Linked DNA regions of Oreochromis niloticus. The protein of the gene in region 1 interacts with the protein of each later gene in a biochemical or structural test. Links are inferred from orthologs where the notes say so. Each region holds a gene or a part of one and is shown on either strand. Other genes may lie near its edges. The genes, in order: snta1, scn4ab, slc6a3 and potassium voltage-gated channel subfamily A member 4.

What was found.
Region 2: the proteins of snta1 (region 1) and scn4ab interact in a test that uses a peptide from one of them, tested with the Homo sapiens proteins (2 studies listed by BioGRID and IntAct). The link is inferred for Oreochromis niloticus from reciprocal best matches to the Homo sapiens genes SNTA1 and SCN4A.
Region 3: the proteins of snta1 (region 1) and slc6a3 interact in a test that uses a peptide from one of them, tested with the Homo sapiens proteins (2 studies listed by BioGRID and IntAct). The link is inferred for Oreochromis niloticus from reciprocal best matches to the Homo sapiens genes SNTA1 and SLC6A3.
Region 4: the proteins of snta1 (region 1) and potassium voltage-gated channel subfamily A member 4 interact in a test that uses a peptide from one of them, tested with the Homo sapiens proteins (2 studies listed by BioGRID and IntAct). The link is inferred for Oreochromis niloticus from reciprocal best matches to the Homo sapiens genes SNTA1 and KCNA4.

Annotation. Positions count from the first base shown.
Region 1 is NC_031970.2:7,142,661-7,150,811, reverse strand, and holds the start of snta1 (alpha-1-syntrophin), read left to right. Parts: upstream 1-5,031; 5' UTR 5,032-5,140; coding exon 5,141-5,423; intron 5,424-8,151. UniProt on the Homo sapiens protein: Adapter protein that binds to and probably organizes the subcellular localization of a variety of membrane proteins. May link various receptors to the actin cytoskeleton and the extracellular matrix via the dystrophin glycoprotein complex.
Region 2 is NC_031969.2:35,485,697-35,492,907, forward strand, and holds the start of scn4ab (sodium channel protein type 4 subunit alpha B), read right to left. Parts: upstream 3,247-7,211; 5' UTR 3,102-3,246; intron 1-3,101. UniProt on the Homo sapiens protein: Pore-forming subunit of Nav1.4, a voltage-gated sodium (Nav) channel that directly mediates the depolarizing phase of action potentials in excitable membranes.
Region 3 is NC_031976.2:9,279,151-9,286,742, reverse strand, and holds the start of slc6a3 (sodium-dependent dopamine transporter), read left to right. Parts: upstream 1-4,587; 5' UTR 4,588-4,902; intron 4,903-5,571; 5' UTR 5,572-5,622; coding exon 5,623-5,679; intron 5,680-6,053; coding exon 6,054-6,264; intron 6,265-7,165; coding exon 7,166-7,297; intron 7,298-7,592. UniProt on the Homo sapiens protein: Mediates sodium- and chloride-dependent transport of dopamine. Also mediates sodium- and chloride-dependent transport of norepinephrine (also known as noradrenaline). Regulator of light-dependent retinal hyaloid vessel regression, downstream of OPN5 signaling.
Region 4 is NC_031965.2:10,259,848-10,267,273, forward strand, and holds the start of potassium voltage-gated channel subfamily A member 4, read left to right. Parts: upstream 1-4,344; 5' UTR 4,345-4,381; coding exon 4,382-5,854; 3' UTR 5,855-7,065; intron 7,066-7,426. UniProt on the Homo sapiens protein: Voltage-gated potassium channel that mediates transmembrane potassium transport in excitable membranes. Forms tetrameric potassium-selective channels through which potassium ions pass in accordance with their electrochemical gradient.

The DNA.
Region 1 (8,151 bases):
ACACATGCAAGCTGCAGGGAGGCAGGCTGTCAGCCGCTCAGACACTAGTCCATATGGTAGACCTCTGGAGCTGTTGCCCTTAGCAGAGTAGGGGAGGGAAGCAAAGATGCTTGGAGGATGGCAGGAGAAGGCAGAAGGATGCAGGGGGACGTTGAAACTAATCAGTAGGGCTCCCCAACTGTCCACTGTCTTTGGGGAGTTGAGATATGCATATATGTGACTGACTGAACTAAGGGTGTAGAGAAGATAAGTTGGGGGGTTGTAGTCTGTTTGTCTGTTTGAGTGTGTGTACATCCATCCATTCATTTTCTTAACCGTTTATCCAACTATGGACATGGGAAGGGGGCTGCATTCTGTCCCAGCTGGCGTTGGGTAAGAGGCAGAGTACCCCCTTTAGGGGTTATAAGTTATGTGGAAATAATGCTTTAAGTTCTTAATTTGATTTCATTTATTTAACATAAATACAATACATATTCTAGTGTTTTAAGCAATTATCAAATTGAAATATATAAAAAATAATAGATAAAAATAATGATCTAGCAATTTTCACATGTGTTCTGTATATACAAATTGTGTTTTTACTTTGTTGTCATTATTATTCAAAAGTATTTTCTTATTACTTAAACAACAACAAGAGATACAATAGTAGTCTGATGTTGTTGAGAAGTGCTATAGGGTCATGTGAGTTGTCTTCAGCATAGCAGAAAACCAGTCTGCCTTGACTTAGACAGAAATGATGTTTATAGATTGTTAACATGTTAAACTTTTATTCAACTTACATTTAGTCATATATATTTATATAATAGTTCTTTTTTATTAAATTATGTTAGCGAAGATAAAATTAAATACATGGTCAACTTTTGTTTTTTAATGTATCATATAGTCATTTTAAGCATTTAAATAAGGTTTTTTAATATTTAAATGAAAATCTTGTATTTTATATCCTTTATTCGATCATTCTTGATTTTTACATGCAAGCCCAATATAACTGCACTGCTATTAGGTTGATCAGCAATGACATATATTCATGCAACGCACTCTGTTAGTGCAAATCATCATTCACCATTTTGGTTGTTTTTCCTGTACACTACAGAAAACAGATTTAATTTCAGGTCCTTGACTTCTTGCTGACTTAAGCTCTAGTGTAATTTGACGGTGCTCAGTATTGGTTAAATCCTGCAAGGACAATGGTGAAATATGATGTCATCCTACACTACTGTAAATGCAAGCACACTTGCAAACAAGTCACTACTTTAATGTGCACAGTTTCAATACTATATATGACTAGATCCACTCCAAACAATGCAACCAGTTTTGTGTTTTGTGTGTGAGAGATCCTTACAAATCCTGCTCTTCCATTCAGCTAAGCTTTGCAAATATATTAAGCTGTGCTACTGTGAAAGAAAGGCTGGCCTCCTGCCACTCACATCCCAAATAGACCAACAGATGCATAGACTGGGGGTCAGATGGTCAAACACTTGTCATAATGCTAAACATCACCATGTAGACCCACTTCTTAAGTCAAGCACTGTTGTTGAAGTCTCCCATTCATTTTTGCTGTGCTATTTATATGTGTGCTTCTATACATGTGCTAATTAGTACAAGGAAGTATCCTTTTCTAAACAAAAGTGTGGACAAAGGAGGATAAGGTTTATGGGTGGAATGAGAAAATGTGACAATAAACTTCACATAAATCATTTGTTTCATTAATTATGTTAAATGTAGCAATGGTAACTGAACCTCAAACCACACTGGCTGTATATAAAAGATGGGTACCCAGCTGTTGGTGGACTATATCATTTAGGGACCTTGGGTTGTTTAAAAACAACAACAACAAAAAATGCAAACAAGGAAACAACACTTTTAGACAAGAGCTCAAAGGTGGGTAATTTTTAGCTAATGCCAGCACCAACTAGTTTGGTTAGGCAGGTGGATCTGTAATTCATTGTGATTTTGAATGGGCTGCTAATTTTAGATATTGAAAAACAGGTTTAAAATATACTTACTGGAGAAACTGAATAGCCATTTCCTTTAGGCGACATGTTTATTGTTTTGGGGTTTTTCCGCCTTCTAGAACAGGAAGATTGGGATGACAGTCTTACATACCCTGCACACATGAGCTGGAACAGAACCAAACCCAGGCCTCTGAGCTGAGGGTAGACTTTTCTACATGGGGTACACACTCTGACAGGTGAGCTACAGGTGCTGTTCTTTTGTGCGCCGGTAGGTTGAACAGAACAGGACACTGCCGCTTGGCTACAACAAGCTCCGATACTAATATGTTCACATTGTACACTTGCCACAGAGTGGTTTCATCATAGTTGTGTCTTTTTTATTTTAAAACAGTTGCTTGCTGTTGCTGAAAACAACAGGGTTGATGTGAAAGCTGAGTTTGTATCACTTATTTGGAAGCACAGGAATCATCTGACTTCACTTTAAATTTGAAAATCCACATTTTTAACTGCAAGACTGTGTTCCCCATCACATCTATATAATATTAATGGTCACTATGCCAATAAAAACAAGCTCCATCTTGTATGTTGATAAACAGTATAATTATTGTATCTTTAGTATTTCCAAGTAAACCCTTTGTCTTTACTTTAAAGTGTCACCCTGGGCAACTGAAATGTCCAAATAATACTTGTGATTGGGCTGCACAGCTGGGGTCCAATATTTGTTTATATTGTCAAAATCTCTTCTTTTTTTTGCTCTTTGAGTACCATGTGCCTACAAATCCATGAATACTAATAGACATATGGTTGGATATGAGCTAAATAATCAAAGGGTATGTAATCCTGGGACAGGCTGTGGTTGTTTAATATCAGTTAATGACACAGTAATTGCATTTTAACCTTATACATATGGCCTATACTTTATAACTGCAAAATGTTTTTTCTTTAACAAGACTAGCAAAAAGTCAGAAATAGTTTCTCTTAATTCAGCTGTTTTTACTGTTTACTTATTTCTATCACAGTGAAAACCTCATCACATAACAATCAAAAGATGTTCCTAGATTTTTTTTTAAAGTACTGTATATGACATGTAGGAAATCTTTGTTATTTAAACAGATTAGGTACTAGTCAAATGTTTTCCAGTGTAGAGGTAATAGAGCCCTTTAATCACTAGAGGGAGACAAAAGATTTGAATCTAGGCTTTGGAATTCCCTGTTGAATATTTAGTGTGAAGCTGATCCATGGTCTATGACTTAAAAAACAAGTTGTTAGAAATAAAGTTGTTACATCAATATTCACTACAGTAAACATGAACCAATTAGAATAAAGTAAGCGTTGATATTTGAGTTGATTAGCTACTTTAGAATGATAAAGAAATGTTGTTGACAGATGAGCATATTTAGAGCATCTGAATGGGTTTAGAGCAATTTTCAGTCAAAGCTCCAAACTTGTTTTCATTAAGGGAGCAACTGCCTCTCAACAGCCCACCCAGAAGAGTGTTTTCCAACCCTGAGTGCTGGGACTTCTTTGCTATTTCACCTGCTGTGAAGCAGATGCAACACAGGCTGCCACACACACAGCTGAAGGGCTGACAGATACCTTGCCGATGCAACAGAGCATAGGAAATGAGGACTGCTTCATCAGCTTGTTTCAGTGACTCCTGCATGATCTTAATGTCTATGCTGCACAATTAAGTGCACCTCTGCTGAGTCACCACAACAGTGCAGTACTTATCCATGTTGAGTTTCTGTCAAGACCGAGACTGAACGGCTTGGCTTATTACTCCTGAAATCATGGCATATTAGGAAATAATTCAAAATAGTTATTGCATGTTTTTTTTTCACATTTTTCATTAAATATTTACGACTGACTACTAAATGAAAAAAGTGATAGCCAGAGTAGCAGATTTCTGCAAATTGCAACAGAAATTGAAAGAACTGCTTAACAGTTTGAACTGAAGAAATAAGGAAGGAAATAAAATAAAAATGAAGAATAATTTAGTTTGAACTGGAAATTTAAACTGGAAAATTCTGGACTGAATATAATTGTAACTTGGGGTAAGAATGAAAAGAACTGAAATTCCACTTACTGGCACTAATCTTCAGCATACGCAGGACTGTGTTTTTGGTTTTTAATGGAAACACCATGAGTTTGCATTTTTGGCAGTAGCCCCGGTGGAATCAGTTTACTAATCTAAACCACGATTCTACCTTCTATCTGCTGAAATTTTCAAACACAAACAACAAATTTTTCACGTATTTTTTAAGCCCATTTCTTCACTGCCATGGAATTCCCAGTCTGGGAGATGAGGTCGTTTGGTCTTGGTCTGTATCCAGCATTGATTCATCCTTTGCGATGCTCAAACACCTCATTTGGTACCTACTGGAGAAGAGCTTTGGGGTAATCATGCTTTGTACAACATCATATTGGTCACGTGTCTGCTTTTAACAACATTTTATTGGATACTGATCAGCTTTAACTATGCCCCAGCTGCTGCAACAGGGCATCAGTGTCATGGTACTGATGGGCATTTATGGCCTCTTTCAGTGCCTGTTGTCCTGAAACCCATTTTGAATAAAAGCCAATAAATATCATTGTTCTGATTAACGTGCAGGCTTCTTCATGGTAACATCACACCCACTGTTTTCTGTCAGCAGAATTCAAGCCGAAGATGCTTAGTGGGTGTCATTCCCGATATAAGCTCTCTTCACTAAAAATGCATTTCTGGCCTTGAAAGCATGTCGATGTTGTTTTCCTTATTGCAGAACTTATGCATATATACATATATATATATGCGCAGTGATTTTGCGCGTTTTGGGCACACTGGAAATGAGATCTGTGATGTGAGGCTGGGTGTTGAAATACACTCGAAATAAATAAATAAATAAATGAATGAATCAAAACTTAATTATGCGTGACTCAACCTCACATTGGTGATTAACGGATGGGCTGAACAAGAAGCTCTTTGAACTTTGAGTGTGTGTCAACACCGTTGCTAATCGCATCGCCCTCGATTAACTTTACTTAGCCTACTACTGGATAAACCTCTTTTGGAGGAGGAGAAAATAGAGGGAGGGAGGGAGGGAGGGGGGCTCAATGTGTGTGTCTGCATGCCCCCTACCACAGCCCTCTACCCCCTCTTACAGGACTGCCAGCCCGTCTAGAGTTATTCCAGGAATGCGTTGAACATGGCTGCCGCGACGAAGGCGCAGAAAACGGGACTGCTGGAACTTCGAGTGACCGTGGACCGCTGGATCCGGGTACTGGCTACACTTACCGAAGATAGTCTCACGTTAAACCCCGGTGAGGGCACCGAAGAACCCGCGAAGCCAAACCCGAGTCCCGCTGGTGCTATTAACGGAGACCCCCCGAACCTCAGCTCGTCCCCGGTCCCGGAAACCATCACCAACGTGAAGCGCACGGTGCGAGTTACCAAGCAAGATGTTGGCGGGCTCGGAATCAGTATCAAAGGTAAGGTAGTTTACGAAAGTATCTTAAAGATAGCTAACTGCATGAACGGCGAGTTACTGTCAGTTAACACAAGTTTTGACTACAGCGTACCTTCTGTCACCGACCACGAAAACAGCGGCCAGTTAACTTGGCTAACTTCAAAAATGTGCAACAATTCTCAGAAACGTGCGTAAAATGCAACTTTTCCGCGATTTGCTCTATGACAAATATCCGTTCGTGTTATAACTCACACGTTTAGGTCCGATGTTAGCGCAGAAAAACGACAGCTGTGATTTTCTCAAGCTGTTTCTCTGCTCAACAGGGAACCATTTCAGTGCACCACAGTCACCGGAGACGGTAATTAGTTCGCTACTGTCATGTAACGTTGGGTTCCACCGTGTGCCCCCAAACAAACACAAAAAATAAACACTAGTTTAAATAATTTAGATAACTGAATTCAGAGAAATCAGGAAATGGCACGTGATTCTGTTTAACTCGATTTGGGTTTTAAAAAGTTTCCACAAATCCCCGAATACTTTCCGTAGATGCTTATTACCCAGCAGTGTCGACACCAGCAGTTCATTTAAACATATTTATTTATGGACTACAGACACCAAACAAAGCAGGTTTTAAACCTGAATATTATGCGTTATCAACCAACATTATTAGTTTTATTAGATCTAACTTCTGATTATGAAGCTGTAACACCAATAAAAATATGTGACAGAGTTAAATCCCGGCTCTACAGAGTATTTTAGGTGGTTCAAAGACCTTTTTGGCTGTTGAACTTTGCCTTTGAATGAGCAAACGGGAGTAGACATGGACACAGAGACCTCTACTACACATAGTGGCCACAAGAATATTGTTTCTACAGGGACTTCTCAATGAAGAAAGGTTGTAATCTCTCCATATCTTACCAGCCAAGCCTGCATACCTGCCGTGTGTTTTGCAGCAGCTGATAAAAGACTTTTCCTTGTCCTGCTTCCACGAAAATAGCCTATCTCTGTGGGGATCTCAAACTGAAGATGACTAGGAAGGTTGAGCAGTGGTGCTATGTAAATATAAAAGATAAAACGGACAGGAATGTGATAACAAAGTTTTAGGAATGTTTTGGATTTTATTATATTTTATAGACGGACAAATATCACAGCTTTTGTTCTTGAAATTTAGTAGTGACTGATAGATTTACACTTTTTCTTTTTACACAGCTTGCTTTGTGTCTTTATATTGTCTTTATAATTGAATCTAGAATATGGTCATTTTCATATTCTTGCCACACACAGTGGGGTTCCGCCTCCTTGGCTTTAACTAGAATTGCTTGAGGTTATTGTGGTGAACTTATGATTCTGTTGTGCAACTTAAATAAACACTGTTTGAATTTTTAATAAACAACTGACACAGAAAGATTTGTTGCAGACTGATGTATTTTATACTGTGTTTCTTATTTTGCTTGGGTTGTGATAAATGCAAATGCAGACCCCACAATTCTCGCCTAAAAAGTCAGCTTTTTAAATTCAGATTTTCCTGGTGGGTTGTAAATATGTACTGGAAGAGTTTTCCTAGAATTACATATAAAAATAAAAATCTAATTAGGTTTCTTGCACAGTCTCAATAAATCTCATTATATTTTTAATCATAACCCCTGTGTGATGACATGTATCATATCAATGAATTATTGTCAGTTCACAACCCTAAGTCACCTTGTGTTGTAAAGCATGGACTGCCAAGGCAGTAAAAGGTGTAATAAATAACAGGCATGGATCTATAAGCAGCATGTGTGGGTATAATTGCATGTGTGTGAGCTGTAGTTTCCTCCTGGCAAGTTTGTCTTCCCAGGTAATCACTTGGCGATTGGTTGATGCACAGTGTCGATTTGATAGATAATTGTAAACTTGCATTATTGTCATGTTGCAAAGATGGCTCATCATTGTAGCTGCTGGTGACATCTTAATTTTTAGTCCCCCCCCCCCCCGCAATTCCCACCAACGACAAAACAAAGCCAAGCCCTAATGACATAATTGTGATGTCCATCTGTGGAAATGGGTGGGTTTGAAAATCAGACAGCATGTTATTAAAACCAAATCATAGCTAGAAGCCTTTTGGCTTGACATTGTTGTGATGCTGGATGTTCAGAGGCAGTTTTGGGAGGAAGGGTGTACAAGATTGAAAGTGAAAGGTGCAGGCAGAAAGAGCAGGCCAAACAAGAAATGGTATATGGGACAAGAGGTCAAAGAGGTCAAAAGAGTAAAAAGAAAAAAGAAGCAGGAAGAAAAAAGTGTCAGAAACGCAGCGGGAAACAAATGAAAGAACAGAGAAAAACTTGTATGCTAGTTGACACCGCATTGCGAACAGCTGAGAGAAGCAGCTCACAGCAGTCAGTTGTCATTGGCTAAAGATGAAAGCTATGTGGCTGGGAGTGGAGTACTCCACTAGTGTTAATTTTAGGGAGCCCACCCCAGCTTGAGGAAGAGTACGGAGGCAACTTTAACTCACATGTCTAAATTTAAGAGGGGAGGCATGGAATCTAGACTCCAGGTCTCTGGACAGGCCGAATGGTAAAAGTTTGCGTGTCTCTGCAGACATTTTTCCTTCTTCGGAGCCACTGAGGTGCACGGTCTGTGCATATAACCACAATGACAGTCAGAGGGATTGCTACTTTGAGAGAAGGCAGTTGGTGAACAGTGCCATGAAACAATTATTTCACTTTTAAACCATCCCAGACATTGTTTTAATAGTCCCTATGGGTTGA
Region 2 (7,211 bases), on another chromosome or scaffold:
ATAAAGCCAGGGCAACAATGGAATGGTTTAAAACAAAACATATCCATGTGTTAGAATGGCCCAGTCAAAGTCCAGATCTAAATCCAATCCAGAATCTGTGGCAAGATCTGAAAACTGCTGTTCACAAACGCTGTCCATCTAATCTGACTGAGCTGGAGCTGTTTTGCAAAGAAGAATGGGCAAGGATTTCAGTCTGTAGGTGTGCAAAGCTGGTAGAGACATACCCTAAAAGACTGGCAGCTGTAATTGCAGCAAAAGGTGGTTCTACAAAGCATTGACTCAGGGGGCTGAATAATTACGCACACCCCACTTTGCAGTTATTTATTTGTAAAAAATGTTTGGAATCATGTATGATTTTCGTTCCACTTCTCACATGTACACCACTTTATATTGGTCTTTCACGTGGAATTCCAATCAAATTGATTCATATTTGTGGCTGTAATGTGACAAAATGTGGAAAAGTTCAATGGGGCCGAATACTTTTGCAAGCCACTGTAAAACAGGAAACACGAGACACACGCTGAGACACGGACTTGCCATAGGGACTGGGAAAGAACAGGCATGAGAACATACCTCACTGGGCGAGACACAAGCAACACAGGGAGACTAACTAAATCCAAGAACATTCAAAGCAAGACACACAAACACTGGGTTCCTTTTACCCATGACCATGCAACGCGTTCTCATCCCAACACGTAACATACCGACATGCGACAAATCGCCGGTATGCTACGCGTTCGCAGGCATGAGATCCAGATGGAATTAAACTATACATGTAAATGTCTTTTACATATTGATCATGAAGCCCTTTGGAAAACACATCTGACAGGGTTATGTGTTGGGAATGAGAATACTCTGGAGCATGACAGGCTCTTCTTTAGGCTGTCGTGGGTTTTCCTGGGGACCTAAATCTGGATTACACTTGGATAAATCTGTTGCATTCTTATTTACAAAGCCTGGGGCATTTATTGTTCAAAAGAATGTCGTGGTAGCAGACGAAACTCAAAAATTCCAAATCTGTCAGCAGGGATTTGGGCTTGTTGTGTCTACAATCATGCAGCAGATGTGATGAAATCTTTGGGACCTAATGTGAACATGTCACTCAGTGGGAGACAAAAGGAAGAATCTGTTTGGGCGTCACATGATGATGATTTATCATCTCAGGCAGCCAATCCAGGTTCTCTAGCTTTTCACTAAAAGGATTTTAATTTTCACCAATCACGAACATGGATGGCTGTAGAGTTAAGAACAATCTGTACTCCCAGACAAATCCAACTAAATGACAACATACCAGCATGGTGAGCAGGTTTATGAAATTGCAGAGTAGCATACACAACCGAGCAGCTCAGTAACTGATAGTCTCTCATATTCATACTCAACCAATAAAAACAAAGACCTCAAAACCTCTGGCAATGTGAGCTCTGAGAGAGCTTAAGTAATGGAGAGATCTGATTGGTCAATAAATGGTGGTTTTACATGTAGGATCTCTTGTCTTCAGCATAAGTGCCTGCTGACTTAACCTACCCAACACGGGCAGCAGCATAATTTATGTATAGAGTACAGGCCTGTGAGGTGAGGTTAGAAGCTGCTAGCACACGTGATTAAGCTGTCACACCTGTCGGTTCTGAAGCAAAGCACGTTTTAGCAACCGGATATGTGATCTTCAATTTAAATGAAATGTTTCCTGGTCAGAAGCTGCCACCTCATCTTATAGCAAACATAGCATCCTGATCTGACACTAATAGTGCTAATGTGACCAGCTCAACGCCATTTCCTGTGGCAGACTCTTAACCTTTTGGTGTGACCCTCCTCTGTTAGTGCTCAGCTTGGCTGCAACCACACAGAGCTATATTAGAAAGCAGCAGTAGTTGGTCCCAGCAGTTGTTAATATCTGATCCCTGATCAGCTTCTTCACTACAGTCAGCTGGCCTATAAATAATGTCTGCTGGCTTACCTTAAACTCTAAACCCAGTCAGTGCTCCGTCTTATAAAACCCAACCCTCTTTACAACTATTAAAGTCTGAGTCGCATTTAGCGTGGATAATGTAGCATAGTAATGCTAACCTCCATAATCACAAGGTGCTGCTGCAGTGTGAAACTCACTGATACACGAGATCAACGACACCATCTGCCAGAAAGATGTTAAAGAAGCAGCTCTGGTTTCTCAGACTTACACATTGGGCAGTAAATAAGAAGGTCCAGAAAAAAATCAGACTCCACGGTCTCTGCGTCAGACACTTCAGACGCTCCTGCTTGTTTAAACTGTGAACTAATGTCATCTTACGCTATCATTCCCTCAAGCATCTTTCTTGACACGTCATAAAACCATGGCAACAAGACAAATTTATTTTACCTTTTTATATTTCTAGCAGCAAAAGCATGAAGTGAAACAATCAGAGTTCATCCTCATAACTCGATCTTACAGACACTCAGGTAGCAAACACGCCAAACCTGCAAGCACAGCCCACTCAGCTGAACATTCCTGTGAGGCTTTAACACAAGTTTCAAGTAGAGAGGCTGGTCACTATAGAGGGAATTCAAAAGTCCAAACCTGCCTGGAAAGATTAAATGACTGATTCTCTGTGTTTTTGGTTTGTTTTTTTAACCACCATCTTTGCAAAAAAGAAGAGCAGTTTGATTAAAGTGAGTCTACTTTTGATTTACTTTGATATTTTGTTTCATTTAAGCTAAAAAGTGTCTGATGATGTGCAGATATGATGACAGAGGGTATCAGGTTAACAGCAACGCAACAGGTGTAAGACACACACACACACACACACACACACACACACACACTGTGTACTGAGAAGCAGGACAATAAGGAGGATCGGTTGTTTCAAAGTGAAAACTAAAGCATGAAATGTTGTTCTTACATTTAAATCAGAATCCAAAGCACTTTGAATCTTTGGTGAAAATTGTAACTTTAGACATTTTTAGGAAAAGTTATTCAGACTATCAGATGAAAATGTCTCTTTAATTATTACAAAAAACTGCTCCATAAACAAACGAAAGGTCAACAGAACCTATAAAATATAAAATATATAAAATCTATAAAATCTTATGTTTCACTTCACGTCTGAAAGCATAAAGTTCAGCCTCACCTGCTTCTGCTGTTTCTTCCACAATAAATCCAGTAAACATCGGTCACAGCACCATGCTGCCTGTCCGTATCTCTCTCTCTGTCTCACGTCTTCTGGCCTTGCCTTACTCTACGTCTCTTACTGAAACTTGAGAGGTCAGGTAGTGTGTCAGCACACACTCACACACACAAAGCCACATGTTCATCAGTTCCCATCAGAACTTTAGAAATTCCTTTCTGACAACATAAAATTATCAACCCCTCATTTAAAATAATAAAAGAGACATTTAGTAAGATCAACAGATTAATTGGTCAAAAATAGATTTGTTTTTAAAGCTGCATGATATATGGCATGTATTCCCATTTGAGACATGACAACCGAGGAGCTTAAATCTAAAATGTCTCTTGAAAGCAGAATCTCACCAAGGATAAGTTAGATTCAACGTAGTGCTAAGTTTTTATCACAACAGTCATAAAAAGGTTTTATGCAGCCATGAGAGGAATTGAAAGTCCTGCAGCAGCACAGAGTCTGGGTCACGTGATCACAAACTCATTTTAAATACATGCATAGAAATAAATGAAACTGTCCATACACTCAAAAAAATGAATGAGGTGGATTGTTCAGTGTATATTAATTGTTTATTTTCATTTTACTTAAAATATATTTTTTTGTTAAGTTAACATATGTTTTTCTAATCAAGTCTACGTAATTGTGTCTATTATTCACTGTACATAATACTAATGTGTTACTTGATGGCATAACATTTAAGTTAAGTCAATTAGGATCAATATACTTTGTATATCCACTAGGTGGCAGTAATGCAAAAACAGTTGTAATGAAACCGCGAAGAACAACAATGTTTCACGGCTTGGGCCTGCTCATTCGCAAGACTTCAAATTTAACTTAAAAACGTTGTTTTGGCGCCAAGCTGCTGTTTCTTTGAGAGGTAAGACCACTTTTTTCTTTGACTATGTTTTGTAGTATCTACATGTCGAGCATGGTTATATTTTGCGTTTGTCTTATAAGACATGTTATATCGTTTGCGTGCGCTTGTTCTACAGTGCGTGAATGGGTGAATGACTGAATGTAGTGTAAAGCGCTTTGGGGTCCTTAGGGACTGAGTAAAGCGCTATACAAATGCAGGCCATACATTAGTTTTACTGGGTCCTGGACATGCTTATTTTGTGGACTGTGTAAGAAACATTTTTATTGTTTTTGGTTTTTTTAAGGGATTAGCTACAGGGGTTCATGGGGTTATTTTTTCATTTACTTTCTTGGGATTCCTTTACTGTAATCCGAGAGTCATAAATATCGAATAGGATAGCAAGGATAGCATAAAGTGACATTTAAAATCCAAAAAGTCGAGGGCGAAAGCCACTGTGACACCATTGTTATGCTCTATCAGTAATTTGTATTATGTAAAAATGGTCTGTAAATACAGCATGTTTCCTAGCGGAGTTATACACATCAGCATAGTTATAAATTACAGTTTGTTAAATCACACACTTACTTTTTTAAATAAAATTATTCACAACATATGAGTGGGAAGACAATGGAAGTCGACAGACCTGGTGATAATTGCTTCTATAGAAAGTTAGAACATGGCAGTGTCAATCTCTTGCTTTTCTTCTGAGTAGTATTTTATTTAGTTGTAATACAATCAATAATTTGCTTCTTGAAATTAAGTAATGAATTTCTTGTTTTACTGTATAAATTTCAGATCCTGCCTTTACCTGATGTGGTGTATGTGGTACTGCTGAGCTTGTATGTGGTATGTGAACTGTTATACTTTTAAAAACAAAACTGTTTTATAAGTTAATTTTTCTTTAGTGACCCATCCCATGCCCCTGTTATTTCTTCTCCAGATCTGAACCATTGTAAAGGTTGCAGTTCAAGGGCCTGAGGTATGAAATTCTTTTCAGATCAGCTGTGATCAATATTTTTTGGAACTTGATAAATAACAATAAAAGCTGTGATGGCTCCATTAGCATTTTGTATAAATGTTTGTGTTAAAATTATAGCTTTAATGAGGTCTTTCTACATTAGTTAGGGTTAGGGGTTAGGATGAAAGTTTGGGCCCCTCCTCCAATTGGAGGCGGGCGGTGCACGGGCCATCCCTCGGTAAGGTGCCTGGACCCCGGATTGTCCACGGCGTCTGCCATAACGCACCAGGGTCCAGTCTGAAGTCCATCCAACCATGGTGAGTTGGATGGAGGCGTGTGCTTTTTAATTGGTTTTCCTACCAAAATTTAAATTAAATTTTTGACTTAAATTTGTAAGTTTTAACTTAAATTTTAAAGAAATAAGGGTTAGGGGGGTTAGGGTTAGGGATGTGGAATTGAGTCCGGTCCCTGAAGGGTCCAGACGGTGCTCTGTCCATCCCTCTGCCTCTGCCGCTTGTCCCCTGCTGGACACGTCTACGGGAAGGCAGCCGCCCTCTCCCGTGACGCACCACCGTCCAGCCCTCCGAGTCCATCCGGGACCCCATGTCTTGAATTTTTAATTTTTTGTTTTCTGTGTCTCTTGATGTCGCCTTTGTTATCTTTATTTAATAATTGTTTTGCTGTGCTATTTATGTCAGTTAGATATGAAAATGTGTATATGAATTTACAATCACAAACAAAGGCGAGAAAAAAGAAAAAACGTAAATGAAATTTGTGTTTTTAAATAAAAATAAAAAATAAATGAAATTAATAAAGTTTTTTAATTTTTAATAAGTGAAAATCAATGAATTACTGTGCCCACTGCCGCGACGTTTCGACCCAAGATAGGTCTTCCTCAGGCTGGGGCACAATGAATTTTAAGCTGGGAATGCACAGAGAGAGAGATGTTGTCTCTTCAACGGTCAGCTCCCAAATGAGCTCCTCTCTGCTGTGCAGCCTTTTATAGGCTTGGTTTCGTGTACGTGAGTTTTTGAATTTTGGATTTGGCAATGTGTTTTCAAATGTCTGTGATGGTTTTAGACTACAGTGAATGTGTGTTTTTTAACCTTTGTAATGAAATTGTATTTTATGAAATGTATTTTGTAAATTATGTCAATTTTTAAGAATTTTATGTTTTTGAAGTGATGTATATAAGATTTAGAAATTTGTAGTTGTATGTTTTAATCCAATTAGGTTTTTATGAATTTTTTAGGTTTTGCAGAGAAATATATTTATAATTTTAAACTTGAATGAGTATGTTTAGTCACCGAATTATGTTTTTATGATTTTGGGGTTTGTATATTTAAGCAATATTGTGTTTTTAAGGGTTTTAATAAAGTGTGTGATTTTAATGACTGTTGTTGTGTTTTAACTGTAAATTATGAAGTGATTAAAGGGGTCATAAATCAAATGTCATGTTTTTAATGGTTTTAATAAAGTTTTGATCCCCAATATGTCCCAATTCCCCATTTGTTGTTTGTTGTACATAATTTGTGATATGTAATAATACATTGTTGTTTATTGTAATCAAATATTTATTTATTTATTTATGTATTTAGAGGAATTAACCCCCCAAAAAATGGTTAGGATGAGAGTTTGGGCCCCTCCTCCAATTGGAGGCGGGCGGTGCACGGGCCATCCCTCGGTAAGGCGCCTGGACCCCGGATTGTCCACGGCGTCTGCCATAACACACCAGGGTCCAGTCTGAAGTCCATCCAACCATGGTGAGTTAGGGATTAGGAATTTGAGCTTTCGTTATTCCATATCTATGGTTAAAGTGCACTGGCAAACAGAGGTCCGTAGGTCTCCACCCCATTACTCCTGCATCCTCTGTACTATATGACTTTTGTTCTCTACCATATCTCTTAGTGGGTCTTTTAGTTGACTTTATTTCATTATATATTAGAAATATAAACACATTATATACTTCTTTTACCCCCGTTTCATCTGAAAAAAGAGGGGGGGAAAAAAAGAAATCTATTTTTTTATATTTAAATCCTATACCATCTCCCCTTCCTACAGAAAATCAGTTTACAGTGCTCTTATATACAGTGTGATTGTTAAGCAAATCATGCCTAGGGGGGAGGCAGTGACTAAATAGATTCCACAAACTATGTACATTCATATAATATGATTTATATTTCAACTATGCTTGTTATTAATCATCAAATTATTTACGATGATCTTACTGCTGTTTTTAATATCTATT
Region 3 (7,592 bases), on another chromosome or scaffold:
GTATTGTAGATCATTTTAATGTGATTCTTTTTTTTCCTCATGTATTTGTTACAGTAAAGGGAGCACAGAGAAAAGTATAGATCACAAAGAAAGCCCCCCCCCCTTTTCCCTTTTTAGCCCTACTTTTCTGCTTCATCTCAGGATTGTGGAAATTTTGTAGCCTGAAATTGAATTTGTGAACTTCTAGGACTTGGCATCAGTGTAAAGATTTGAATGACTTAAACCTGTTTGCACCGTGAAATGGATAAGTATTAAATCTACTTCTTAGTGATGTGATTTTTCTAATGCACAGTTAACAGTTCACTCTGTATGTTTGAAACCATACTGTTTTTGTATATAAATGGGGAATCTTATTTTGAATTACGGCTGAAACAGAAAATCAATATTTCAGCACCTGACAGAGAATGCGATTTATTGAGCCACATGAACCCCTCCTGCAGTTTTACTTTAAATGGAAAGCTCCACTGGACGGTCAGAGGAAGATGATGTACTATGATATGTATTCAAGTCAAAGATGTGCTTTTTATATAGTCAGTATTTATATTCAGAACAATTCTGCATTGGGGCTATATGAAAATACTATTTCAATTTCCTTTCGTGACTTTTTTGTCTCCCTCCACTCACATATTTTCATTTCAGGTACCTCAGTAGAGGCAGTTTTTTTTTTTTTTTTTTTTTTCCCCCTGACTTTGTATCAGTCTGAGAAAATGTAAACCTATGAGAGAACTTGTATGCTATTACTGCCTGCTTAAACAGTTTATCCAACAGTGAGCCTAAGACGAAAGACTTGTGTACTCTGAAAGAGTGATATTATCTTTCTGATGGCTCACTGTATATGGACCATGAAACTAAACTACTTTTCTCCTGTAGCTTTACTTCAGACTTCTTTCTGAACAAGTTTTTGTTTTTATTTTGTTAATGCATTTTGATGATTGAGAGTTTTGAATTTGTTCAGGACTGCTATGATATAACTTGTTAATGTGACTCGCCGATGGAATTAAAGAAGCATCAACACTCCTCCTGTCTCTGTCACAGTGTTATTGGGTCATCCTGTAACATAGGTTTTATTATGTGAGGTTGGGGTGCAATGACTTCTACATCAGTGCAAGAAAGCCTTTGCTGTGAAAAAATTCTATTTGTAATTATGAATTTAGCTTTACTGCATGTTAAAGATATTGAGAAAAGTGTAATTGCAGCATCAATTTTTAGATTGTTTTAATCTTCCATGTATGGCTTACATCTATAACCGTGAATTATAAGGGTGATAGAAAGGTAGTTAGGCCACATGTTCTACAGTCATCGATTTTCTTGACCTGTTATTGCATAAATGCCTCCCTCTTGAGGCAACACAGAGAAAATGCGGTGTTTCTTTTTTTCTTTTTTCTTTTTTAAAGTCAAGTCCAGTATGTTGAGCTGTGTAGTAGGCTGCATGACGGAGACTGGGGTAGGAGAAATCCATAATGGTAAAATTTAAGTTAAATATCTAGCAAATTATGTGACTTACAGTAAGTTGAGGTCATGTTTATGAAATGATTTACACAAGTATATTCAGCCATTTAATTTCCCTCCACCTCACTTTTTTGTCAGACATACTTTAATGTCTATAGAGAGGTGACCAGTCTGTTCTGTTCACCCAATTCCACCACTTTGAACCACAGTGAAATGTTTTGTCATAAATTATGTACATGTAACACACTATACATGTACATAATGGGTTACATACAGACATTCAAAGTTCACAGGGGATGAATGGTAACAATACTGGTCGTCCCTTGACTTCCTTTAGTTCCAGGAGTGTGTAATTCAATGAATTAAATTTATTTTCCATGCACTGTTGTTACTTGGAGGCCTCTATAGTGTGACCTCTAGTGTTAATGTATCAAGTTCCCCGTTTCAACTACAGAACTCTACATACTAAGCAATTCTCAAACTCTGCCATTGTGTAAAACATCCAGCAACAATATGCTACCATGCTTGCATAAACATTTAGTACAAAACCTCAGTGTGTATGTACTGCCTGAGCAATTACCATGGCTGTAGACTCTTCAGTCAGTTGAAATCAATTGCTCAATAACTGTATGTAAGACTTATTATTGTTACTTTGTAGTTACCAGAGGCTTTGTATGTAACTGAAAAGTGCTAATGGCATTTTCCCAATTAGAGAACACAAGTGAGTAAAAAAACTGTTTCAAAAATAATTTATTATTGAATTAGACTTTCGGGAGTCCCCACTGTGATGCTCAGGAGGTTAAATAGGTTAGTCTGTGGAGGGGAGGAATGTTCTTATTGTCTAAAATCAGTGCTTATGCTCATGACTCAATGGGTTAAGAATTTGTCCTCATTCCTTCTCCTGTATTGCTTTTTTCCCTCCTTTCATGATCAAGCAGACGGCGCTCACAAGGAGAAAAGCGGACTTGTGCTTCTACTAACCCTCTCAAATCATCATCTAGATCTAACTGCTTATTCAAAGTAGAAAACTCATTGGAATGAAAAGGACAGCTTCAGGTTGTAGTAGTTACCAGCTAGTAATACTGTATAGTCTTCTCATTTTAACATTTTTCTCATTTTTTTTTCCTTTTGCATTGCCTTTCATTTCCTCGTCTGCCATTCTTTCCTCACCCTTGCCTAGCTTCTGCTCCTGCTTGCTCCCCTCCTCCTCCTCAGGACCCTTCTTCTCTGGGTCTCAGCTGTTGCATTTATGAAAACAAGACACTCGATTATGTTCAACTCATCGTTGTCCAAGCTCTGTCGGAAACCTCATAATTCCAGCACGGCTTACATCGACCCAACAACTTCTGATACGAGGCTTGAAGGATGATTGCACTTTAAAGGTGTGTGCGTTGTGTATTGTGTCAGTTGAGCTGGGGTTGGTGGACAATTGATCACCATGATTGGCTTGCAAACAACAAGTTGCCATTCTAAACATGAGTCATACGGCTGTCCAAGGGGAGCAGGCTGATTGGGTTATTCAATGCCCTGGTCCTGCTGTGGTTAAATCTGAAATGGAAGGGGTCTAAGTGTCAGTGCTGATTCTGTTTTGCCTGTTGAACATTACAGGTAATGACATTTTTGCTTGGACACAGTGTGTCACTTGGTCACTGAGATCTTTTTAAAGGTAGAAGAGGGGGGGTCAACTAAGAAAGACCTTTGATGTTTACCCTGGGTTTTACACATAAGAGACAAAATTCTTAAAACCTCCCAAAACACCTTACTTCTAACTCCGCTTCTTACTATTAAGCCCCAAACCAAAGTTTCATTTATTTCAATTAGTATTTTGTTTGCGTGTGTGTGTTGTTCTTTGTGCTACTGACACTGATTTCAAGTGGGATAGGGTTTGATGCATATTATTATTATATACGGTTGTCTTTTCTTGCTGCTGCTCCCAGTGTTTTATTTCTTTTGAGGGTTTTCGCTAATGCTAGCTACTCCACGACACAGGTATTGTTATAAGCTAGTTTGAATATCAGGTGAAACCAAGTTAGAGATTTTATTTTTGAGAGACTGAATCATTGCAGTTCGTTGCATAATGGTATTCTGTGCCCATGCTGATTCGGCCAAGCCAACCTTTTTGCGTATTTATTTTTGTTTTTTAGACATTTTTTAAGACAAATTAAAATACATTTTTACTAATTATATGTTAAAATTGTTATTGTTATGGCAGCTTATTCAAATCATATAATGGTGATAATGCCTCAGACCCACTACAAATTAATTTCAGATGAACTGAATAGTTTTATTTTGGAGGTTGAAGGAGCTGTATAGTTTTCTTATTTTTCTCCCACCCTCTTTCTTCTATCACCCTTGGGTATTGAGATTGCAATGAATTGCTGCCAACTGTATTGCTGTTAAAGGTGAGTTCCCTGAACATAAAACCAGGAAAGTCTATGAACAGCTTTAACCACAACCACTCTACCATATATAAAGGGTGGCTGTAGCTCAGGAGGTAGAGCAGGTCATCTACTGATTGGAAGGTTGGTGGTTTGATCCCTGTTTCCTTCAGTCTCCAAATATCCTTGGGCAAGATACTAACTATGCATCCATTGAAGTATGAAGGTGTGAATAGTGGATAGAAAGAATAAAAGAAAGTGTGAACTGGTGAATGTGGCATGTTGTATTAAGTGCTTTGAGTTCTCTGGGAGAGCAGGAAAGTGCTATATAAGAATCAGTCCATTTACCAATACAGCTGTAGGTTAGATGCAAAATTAAGGCTTTTCAATGTAATTAATAAAATTATATATTTTAATTTATTTATGTTTTAAAATGTTTTTATTGTACTTTATTTTATAAATCTTTAAGCTTTAAGCTCTCACTGCTGTCTTATCCTTGGGCCAGAAAAGATTAGGTGCTTATGTTATACAGCTATAATGTATCTGAATCAAGAGGATGATAACGATGCTGAAGGTGCATGCATCTGGGAATAAGTGTTGCAATATTGTATTTGCTTTTTACCCCCCTCACACTTACATGGATATATGATGGGTGAGAGAGGAGGAGGAAGACATGAAGCTTGAACGAGGAGGGAGGGAGGAGAGTGACGGTGATGGGGGGGTGTCGTTGATTGTTTCTCATATTTCAAGAGTGGTCCCGCAGACAGATCGCCATACAAACCCACAGGGTGCTCGGGGCTCTGTGTGTCTGTCAGTGGAGCCAAGGAGGGTGGGAGGGCTTTCTATAACTCATAGATTGCCAGTTCCTCATTTTTTTCTCTCTTAATTATATCTAATATTTTCCTCTTAATCTTAAAAAGCTTTTCCCGCCTTCTGTTTGTCTCTTGCTTTGAGTCTAACTTATCAAGGAGGGTCTGCGTAAATATGATCAGCATCAGTTTACAGCACACTAAAGAACATCAGCACTGGAATTAAATCCAAACTGACATCGGGGTTCAGCTATTATTTCTAAAAGGTAAGAATTTCATTTTGTAGTTTAAAATGTTTTGTGCTTTGTAACTCCGTATTTCCCTGTATTAATAGCATTAAGTTTTATCCTATGTTGTTAGTAAAAAAAAAAAAAATTTTGGATTTTTTGCATTTTATTTACAATAATTTGATCCTTTTGAAAAGATTTAGACAAAAACAAAAAAACAAAAAGAAAAAAATGAAAATGGCAATTTTGGGCCTAATATTGTGTTTTATTTCACATAAAAAGTATTTTTGTGAAATAATTTTTAACCAAAATTAAATCTGGAGTACAACATGTTGGTAGATAGCGTGCATCCATACTAGGCCATTCTGCAAGTAAAATGGTTGTAAGCACTTGTGAAATAAAATGAGCATGCTGTGATGACCTTGTAGACATGCTCCCCCATCCCTTCTTGTTACCCTCAGTCTGAATCAAATCACTCTCAGTTGTGTTTTCTCTCTCTTTCTTATGCCGCATTTAAATTTTGTAAAAAAATATATATTTATGCTACAGTTTCAGTGTTTAAAAGCGTCTCATTATATTGTTCTTAATCCTTAATTTTCATCCCAGTGATCCTTTTGATGATTTTTATACTTGCATCAAAAACCTTATTCTTCACAAACGGAATATAAAAAAAACCTTCCTTTTTTTCTGTCTTATTTTGTGCTCAAGACTCGTCAGCTTTACCTACCGAGATTTCACCTATTACCATTTTACACCGTGATGTCCTCAGTTGTAGCCCCAGAAAAACCCACCTCCAACACGATGGGTCCAAAAGAGGTCGGTACACATCTAAGACACGCAGTGCTGTTACTGTGCAAAGGTCTCAGTTTATGAAATGACTGCATTTGCTCTCTTATCTTTGTCAGTCTTTGTATTGTACTAAACTATATAGTGGAAAAGACATTTAAAAAAAACAAAAAACCCTAACTGGTAGTGCATAACATGAATGCCTGGTAAGTGCAGTGTAAAGATTAGTATTATAAAATATGATGCTTTTTTTTAAAGAATGACAAAAATGGTAAAAATAGTACAAATAATAGTATTTTACAGTACATTTTCTAATACATCACCATGAATAACATGTTTTAAGGTGTTTGTAATATTCCATTCTGTGTTATGCATGGTTGATTTTAAACTTGGTGACCCTTCAGGTGGAGCTGATACTTGTAAAGGAACAAAATGGGGTTCAGTTCACATCGACCACCTTAGTGACTCCAACTCCGACTCAGACTAACCCCAGTGGGGAGGAAGAGAGGGAGACCTGGGGAAAGAAAATTGACTTCCTCCTGTCGGTGATCGGATTTGCTGTGGATCTGGCAAATGTCTGGAGGTTCCCTTATCTCTGCTACAAAAATGGAGGAGGTGAGACTGATGAAGAGACTGACGTGAGGAAGCTGTGTTTTTTTTTCCTTTCTTTCTTTCTTTTTTTTTGCCCCAGTCCGGGGGATTAGTCTGCCACATTGAGAGGGGTAGGAGGGCATAAACATGGTGACTATGTTGAAAGCAAAGGCAAATAAGAAAACTAATGAAACAGAGAGAGAAGAAGGGGGAGAAAAGGAGGAATTAGTTACAGGCTAGAGTACTTTATGCATGCATGTACTACATGCACATATTTGTGTGTGCTTCAGATCTGTGTGTATGATGGCCGCTGTTTTCGTCTTATTTCAACCCTTTACAGAGATCAAAATAGGGGAAAAACCACCACAGCTGTTCTGAATAGATTAGCTCTAACAATCAGTGTCACTAATTATGGCTGTTTAACATAGAGCTCTCATTATGTTTAAGAGCTGTAAATGATACTGCAGCTATGGTCAAGGCTAACACACAGCCTTTCACGTCGCTAAGTCTAATATGTATGTAAGGAAATATGACAAATGTTCTGTCAGAGGCATAAACTTTATCTTCAAAGACAAACTACACTTTTATATATGAGCCCCCTCTTTTGAAAATTGTGTTTTCATTTTATGAGAATAGTCAATTATTGGAGTAAAGAGGGTAAAAGGAACCTGTCAATCATACAGTGGCAGTTTAACGTGGAAAGAAAAATTTTAAAATACTAAATACTACATTTTCATAATCTGCGTTGACATTTACAGGTGTGAACATGTCTGCAAGACATAAGTAAATAAATGTATTTATTTTTAAAATTGTGTGTGTGTGTCTGTGTGTGTGTGTGTGTGTGTGTGTGTGTGTGTGTGTGTGTGTGTGTGTGTGTGTGTGTGTGTGTGTGTGTGTGTGTGTGTGTGTGTGTGTGTGTGTGTAGGTGCATTTCTGGTGCCGTACCTGTTTTTCATGGTGATAGCAGGCATGCCTCTCTTCTACATGGAGCTGGCTCTGGGTCAGTATAACAGAGAGGGGGCAGCAGGAGTCTGGAAGATATGTCCCATATTTAAAGGTAGGAAAATGTGTGAAGGTAAAATCAAATGTGACAGACACTTACTCACATATGCAAACACTCAAGGATATTCGCACACCCTCTTAGGAATATAAGAAATGTATCATGGGACGAGTTGCATTTTTCTGTATGTCCATCTGCCTACATGGCTGTCTGTCTGCTAACATTCTCCCTTTAATCTCTACGTGTCTTTCTGTCTGCTTGTCTGCCCACATGCCTGCCTGTCCACATGCCAGTCTCTTTTGTCTGCTTGTCTCTGAGCTGAGCAGCGACAGGCATTGTTTATCCTCCCCGG
Region 4 (7,426 bases), on another chromosome or scaffold:
GAGTCAGATAACATAGGATGCAAATGTACTGGTCCCTAGTTATAGTGAATTCAATAAGTCGAGACAGATTCATCAAAAGTAGGCAGTCCATCAAAGCGACAAATGATAAATTAATAAATAAATTATTTTGAAAACAACAATTTGTTGTAATGTGTTTCTTTCAACCACAGTGGTTAAAAATCTCAGTATCAAAACAATTTCTTGTTTGGGCCTCAGGAGGAAGTAAAACATCAAGATCATTTCTTACTTTGAACGACTGCCTAATCTTAAAGAATCTGTCTTGACTTATTTAACTGGCTATAAATGGGACCCAGTATATCTGAGTCCTGAAGGCATCATGCCATGAATGAACACCTATTTACTGTTTGATGTAATCAGAGGGCCTCCAGGGTGTGCGCACTCCTGTTTTCATGTTTCATGTTAAAATCAGTTTCAAACAAAAAAAGAAGAGGTACGGTTTCATGGTCTTTAGCCTTACATGTTATTAAATAATGGGCAGCACGGTGACACGCACTGTTGCTGCACAGCAAGAAGGTCCTGAGTTCAATCCCACCATCAGGCCGGGGTCTTTCTGTGCGGAGTTTGCATGGTCTCCCCGTGTTTGTGTGGGTTCTCCCCGGGTACCCCGGCTTCTTCCCGCAGACCAAAGACATGCAGTTAGTGGGGATAGGTTAATTGGTCAATCTAAATTGTCCATAGGTGTGAATGTGGGACAGGTTGCCAGTCTGTCTCTGTGTGTTAGCATTGAGACAGACTGGCGACCAGTCCAGTGTACCCCGCCTCTCGCCCTATGACAGCTGGGATAGGCTCCAGCACCCCCCACGACCCTGAAAAGGATAAGCAATGGATGGATGTTATTAAACATAAAAATCAACAGAGTAAATAACCTGTTTAACCCATCTATGTGTGTGAAGGTTTAACCAAATACAGCAAAGCCCTAACCTGAAATTGTACTAACCCATAATTTTAACTGATTATGTGCTCTACATTTATGTGTGTGTGCGTCACAAACCCCCCCAAAAAACTTCACAGCCATGTGTTACACATTGCTTCTTAATCATAATGGCATGGTGGGTGCCCTCACTTTATCCCCTGCTCAGGGTCCAAGGGCTGGCATGTCCTCCACTGAGCGTTCACCTTCCTGCTCTGTCTGGTCCTCCTCCACCTCATCACCGGACAGCACGAAGTCTGACTCCCCTTCTACAATTCTGAGTAAAGTCCTTTCCGCCTCAATCCTTCCTTTGCTCCTTGAAGTGTGGATATGGGTTGAAAACAGGAATGAGTAAGTCCTCCTGTCCACTACACAGAACACTGACTGTGTAATGGACAGTATTCACAGTTCTTTGCATTTTCCACAGTTTGTCATGTTACAGCCTTATTCCCAAATGGGTTCAATTCATTTCTCACCTCAAAATTCTACACATGATACCCCATAATGACCAAATGAAAAAAGTTTGCTTGAAATTCTTGCAAATTTAGTAAAAAATTATATGAGAAATGGTCATTTTGAAAAGAAAGCCCATGTGGAAACTTGAAACCCTGAGATGTCTCCTTGACAGTAAATTTGAGTAAGACTCAAATAGATTGCATGAATTGTGCTCGTGGAGGTCTCAGACTCGTGTCCCCCCAACAGAGGACAAGAATGAATCGCTGGGTCAGAGGAGGTTAATGAACACTTTGCATTCTGTTTCGAGTGCTCTCCTAATCAAATATCAGAGGGAGGGCGGGCACAGCGAACATGAATTATTTGTTTTTGTGGCCTCTGTGAACATTTTTTGTTGTTGCATGAGCTAACCTTTTTTCCTGTGATAATATTAACAAAAAATAATGTTAAACGATTGTTAGGTGAAGTGAAATTGTATGAAAAGTATTTCCAGTGCTTTAAATTCACACTTTTTTTTAGTTACAATATATGGACGTATGTAAATAAGTGATGTATGCATTTTCTGATTTAATATGAGAAAATAAACAACAACAAAAACACCGATTAATTTGTAGGAAAGTGGTTGGTGACTGCAAAATGAATAGTTAAAATGTTAGGTTAATGTATTACTTTTTTTATGGTGGGGACACACAAACACACCGGTTGCTACCCAGCAGTGACCATGAAGGGCAGATGAAGCTCGGGTGAAAGACTGCAGCACGGTGCGCAGTGACCGGCTGCATCCACTGGGGGAGGACCGAGCACCGCCTGCACGAGCTGCGGTACACGAGCGACTTTCTCACCGAGACTCTCCATCATCACACAGACACACACACGCACACAGACACACACAATGGGAGGGATCCAGGAGTATAGGTAGGGATACGGCGGCAGACAGACAGATGTGCGATGCTCAGACTTAAACCATGAAGCCATCCCCCCTCGCCCGTGCGAAGGTAAACTTTTACCCACCCTCGTATCTTGTCTTCGTGTGGAGCTGTCATTGATGCCAACTCGCTACGCGCACACCTGCTACTTCCTCCTCTTCTTCTCATTCTTTTTTTCTCCTCTGGAGGGGGTAACATTATTGCTCTCGTCGTAACCAGAAGCGATGCAGCAGAAACGGAGGCTGAAGTGGCGATAGATCCTGTTGAATTGAGACAAGACGTCGAGACGCAGCCAAAAAAAGTGTCCTCTCCAGAGTGCGTCAGAGCACGGATGTGTGTACTGGATGTGGATATGGTCGCTGCGTGGATACAGCGAGGGATTTTGCGGCGTTACCCTCCAAAATCATAACGGGGATTTGAGCGAGAGTGAACAACTGCATCCTCACCTAGCCTCTCCTTCCCCTGCTTCCTCCATCAGATTGGTTTGTGAAGAGGGGGGGCGGGGGAGGGGGACTGAGGCGATGTCGTTTTGGCCCCCTTTCAGATGTAAGTATGGATGTTAGAATAAAGGGAGGATACTTTAATGCGTAAATTGTATTGTAACCATAAATGTCTTCCATATCCCTTTGTGTTCACTCCATAGTAATAATGATGATGATAATAAGCATGATGTATTTTGATTGTGTATTCGATAAAACAACACACATCGATATGAAGGTTTTGTTTTTATTTGCCTAAACCAACTGCTGTTTTCTCCTCTCTTCTTGTTCTCGCAGCTCCTGAGAGCGTCAGAGGAATAAAGTCATTCAGATTCACCGGAGCTGTGTAAAATAACAACGGAGATATCTCTCCCCCTCTCTCTCTCTCTTTTAAACTCATCCTAAAATGGCAACCATGAGTGACCAGGGAGGATCAAAAGACGCATTCGGGCGCAAACCCGGCTCGCGGAGAAATTAACCACCTGATGGGCACCGGAGAAACAGAGGAGAGACTGTTTTGGTGTCGCTTGTTGACTTGGTGATTTACAATGCTGAGCAAATAAGGGGCGCTGCAAGTTTGACCGAGCGTCTGCGTAACAGGCTATGCCACCGGCCTTTACATCTGATCTTTTTCCTTCTTTCTTCTTCTTCTTTTTTTTGGATATGGTAATGATGTCATGAAATACCGGAGGAAGGGGGGGCTGTACCTAAACTGGAAGAGATGGCAATCAGTATCATGTAAGTAGGATACATGGGATTCGCTCAGCATGGACCCGTTTGAGGTGTGTTTGCTATTCTGACTTTCTCGCATTCACGACTGATTGGTCGAGAGGCTTCATGCCTCATTTTGTCTCCCTGCGCGCGCTGAGCTGCAACTTTTGTCCTCTGGTCTGCGTCCACATCACAGCGCGCGAGCGCTTACTGTAAGCGTCCGCGGACCGAAGCGCTCACTGACTTAAAATGGAGTTTGCCATGGTGGGCGCGGACGGTGGGTGCAACAGCCACCTGCCTTACGGATATGCCCAGGCTCGCGCGCGGGAGAGGGAGCGCGAGAGGGAGCGCCAGGTTGCCCACACCAGAGCGGCGGCCGCAGCGGCTGCTGCCGAAGGTGGAACGTGCACGGAGGGAGGTGGTGGAGGAGGAGGAGGTAGCTGCGGTGGCGTCGGGGGGTCCACCTCCAACACCTCCTCGAGCGCTCATCTCCTTAACAACCGCCAGCATCAGTCTCGCGCCGCCTCCTCCGCGAACGCCAACATCAGCAGCGGCGGTACCGCCTCGCGCCCCTCCTCCTCCTCCTTCACCTCCACCACCACCACCACCACCTCCACCTCCTCCTCGCAGCAGAACCAGCAGGAGCCCGAGCAGCAGCAGAGATTTGTGCGAGAGCGGAAAAAGCAGCGCGGCGTCGGACGCTGGAGACGGAACCGGGGCACTCTCGGCGGGGACCTGCGCCACTCCGAGCTGGCTCTGCTCGGATCCGAGGAGGACATCATGATAGAGGAGGAAGAGGCCGAAGGAGCCGAGGAAGAGGAGGAGGGGGGGAGGGGGGCGGGGGGGACCGGGGGAGCAAAAGGTCGAGTTTTTTGTGCAACATGGATGATGAGGAGGAGACCGTGTCGATCACCGACAGGCGGCCCCAGTCCGGATATGAAAACGTTTACAGCGAGTGCGGCTGCTGCGAGAGAGTTGTCATCAACGTGTCGGGTCTGAAGTTTGAAACTCAGCTCAAGACGCTCACTCAGTTCCCGGACACGCTCCTGGGAGATCCGGACAAGAGGATCAGGTACTTCGACCCGCTGAGGAACGAATACTTCTTCGACCGGAACCGACCGAGTTTTGACGCCATTCTTTACTACTACCAGTCAGGCGGGCGCTTAAAAAGACCAGTCAACGTCCCATTTGACATATTTTCCGAGGAGGTCAAGTTTTATGAACTCGGGGAGGAGGCGATACTAAAGTTTCGGGAGGATGAGGGCTTCGTCAAAGAGGAGGAGAAACCTCTGCCGGAGGATGAGTTCAAGCGCCAGATTTGGCTGCTCTTTGAGTATCCGGAGAGCTCGAGCCCTGCCAGGGGGATCGCGGTCGTGTCCGTCCTTGTTATTGTCATTTCTATTGTGATTTTCTGCCTGGAGACGCTGCCGGAGTTCAGGGATGACAAAGAGTATCTACAGCCACGAAACAACTCCTCTCAGCCCGATCACGGATTTACACCTTTTAACGACCCGTTTTTCGTCGTGGAAACGGTCTGCATCATCTGGTTCTCGTTTGAGATTATAGTTCGCTTCTTTGCCAGTCCGAGCAAAACTTACTTCTTTAAAAACATTATGAACTCCATAGACATTGTTTCCATTTTGCCTTATTTCATTACTCTCGGCACGGACCTGGCGCAGCATCAGGGCAACGGACAGCACGCGATGAGTTTCGCCATCCTGAGAATAATCCGCCTCGTCAGGGTGTTTCGCATCTTCAAGCTGTCCAGGCACTCTAAGGGGCTGCAGATCCTGGGTCACACCCTGCGCGCCAGCATGAGGGAGCTGGCCCTCCTCATTTTCTTCCTGGTCATAGGTGTCATCCTGTTCTCCAGCGCGGTGTACTTCGCTGAGGCGGATGAACCCACCTCGCAGTTTACGAGCATCCCGGACGCGTTCTGGTGGGCCGTAGTGACCATGACCACAGTGGGTTACGGAGACATGAAGCCCATCACTGTGGGTGGGAAGATAGTGGGCTCCCTCTGCGCGATCGCGGGCGTGTTAACTATTGCGCTCCCGGTGCCGGTCATAGTGTCCAACTTCAACTACTTTTATCACAGGGAGACCGATAACGAGGACCAGCCGCCGGTGGTGGAGAGCATGCCCCCGGGCTGCCCGTACTTCCCTGACTTTCTAAGAAAATTCAAAGGCTCGCCCTCTGGCTCCTCGCTCGGCGACAAAGCGGAGTATATGGAAATGGAGGAGGGGGTGACGGAGTCGCTTTGCGGGCTGGACAAGAGCCCCAGTAAAGGAAACGGCACAGACATAAGCAGAAAAAACAGTACTAACTCAAAATCCATTCAGACTGACGTGTGATTACAATTAGAGTTTATTATTATTAATTATTTTTCCTGAAGAAGAAGAACACGCCCTATAAAGATAATTCTAAACATCATTTCTGCCCAACAGCAGGTGACCCCCTCCCGCTCACACTTCCCCAACACAAGTTTGAAACACGCCTCAGACACACACACACACACACTCACACTCACACACACACACACACGTTCATGCCACTGATTGGCAGGCTGTTATGCTTCATCTCTCTCTTTCCCCTGTTTTTAACCATCGCGCACTTCTCTAACAGCAGCCTTTCCCCCAAACCATCTTCACCACACACCAGTCTATTTGTTCATCTAAGCTGTGCGGGCTTCCAAATCTGACATCAAATTGAAATTCTAGTGAAGACAGGCTATGCATTCGCACTTTATGAGTTTCATCTGTCAATAACAGAGAGGTATAGGGATCGTTTTTGCTGTTATGCAATAAAGTTCAAAATCTGTTTGCACTAATGTAGATTTTTTTTTTTTTGCGCTGGGTTTTGGCAGATTTGTATTCAGAGACAGAAGCTGTAGGCCATGAAAGTGGCGCGTATTTAGTAATCCTCTGACCACTTCGCTAAAGAATGTTTGAACAACTTCCTCACAGAGAGCAGACTAAGGATATTAATAATCCCCTTTATATGCTGCCAGTAAAAGTAAAGAAAAAAGAAAAAATTGGAAACGAAAATACGGATAAGTCTTTTGTAACTGTTCCAGTATTTAACATTAAAGAAAAGCTAACTGATAAGACAGCATTTAGTAAACCAGGGCTACAGTTATTTCTATGACACCTACACAACTATGTTTTTCCACAACAGGCCAAAAGAAAAAAAAAAAAGCCTTGTATTGCTGACCCACTGCGAGAGCTAAGCACAGGAATTATCAGTTTATAAAATGGCTGGAGAAATGACTCGCCCCAGGTTTTGTATGGACATGCTTGTTGGAACCTCGGTGACAGCAGTTTTCCCCAGTTTCATTTAAAGCACCTCAAAATGACAATATCCCTTTACAAGGAGGCAGATGGAAAGTTAAAGCAAAAATGACTCATCGTGGAAACTCATTGGAGGGGAGCTTGCGAGCAATTTTCTCTCCTGTCTGCTGGACTTCGTGCACAATTCCTTTCCCCCCCACCCCGCCTCACCCCCCCAAGAGGACTGCGATTATCTGCGAGCTCGGAGGATCGTCATGATGTGGATGTCTTCCAAGGTATGTGGCCCACAGCTTGTGTGTGAAAATGATTTTTTTTTAAACAACCTTGTAATGATCAAAACAGCTCCAGTCACGTTTTTAATGGAAAATATATGCCACTAAACAAGGTCCCATCTCGAGATAAACACTTTTATTCCGAGCACGACACCCTCACTTTTATTTTCAAACACTCCCGTGTTTCTTTGACAACAGAACCACGCGTGAATGCGCGTGCGTAAAGCCCTGTAGACGCTGGAGGAATGTGGCGCACATTTTTCCAGTCTTCATGTGGCCAGTTGATGTTTCTGCTGTACAACATTTAAGCTGTGTTCAAGTGTCATATGCAAAACCAATAACTGCAAAACTAATAGGGTGACAT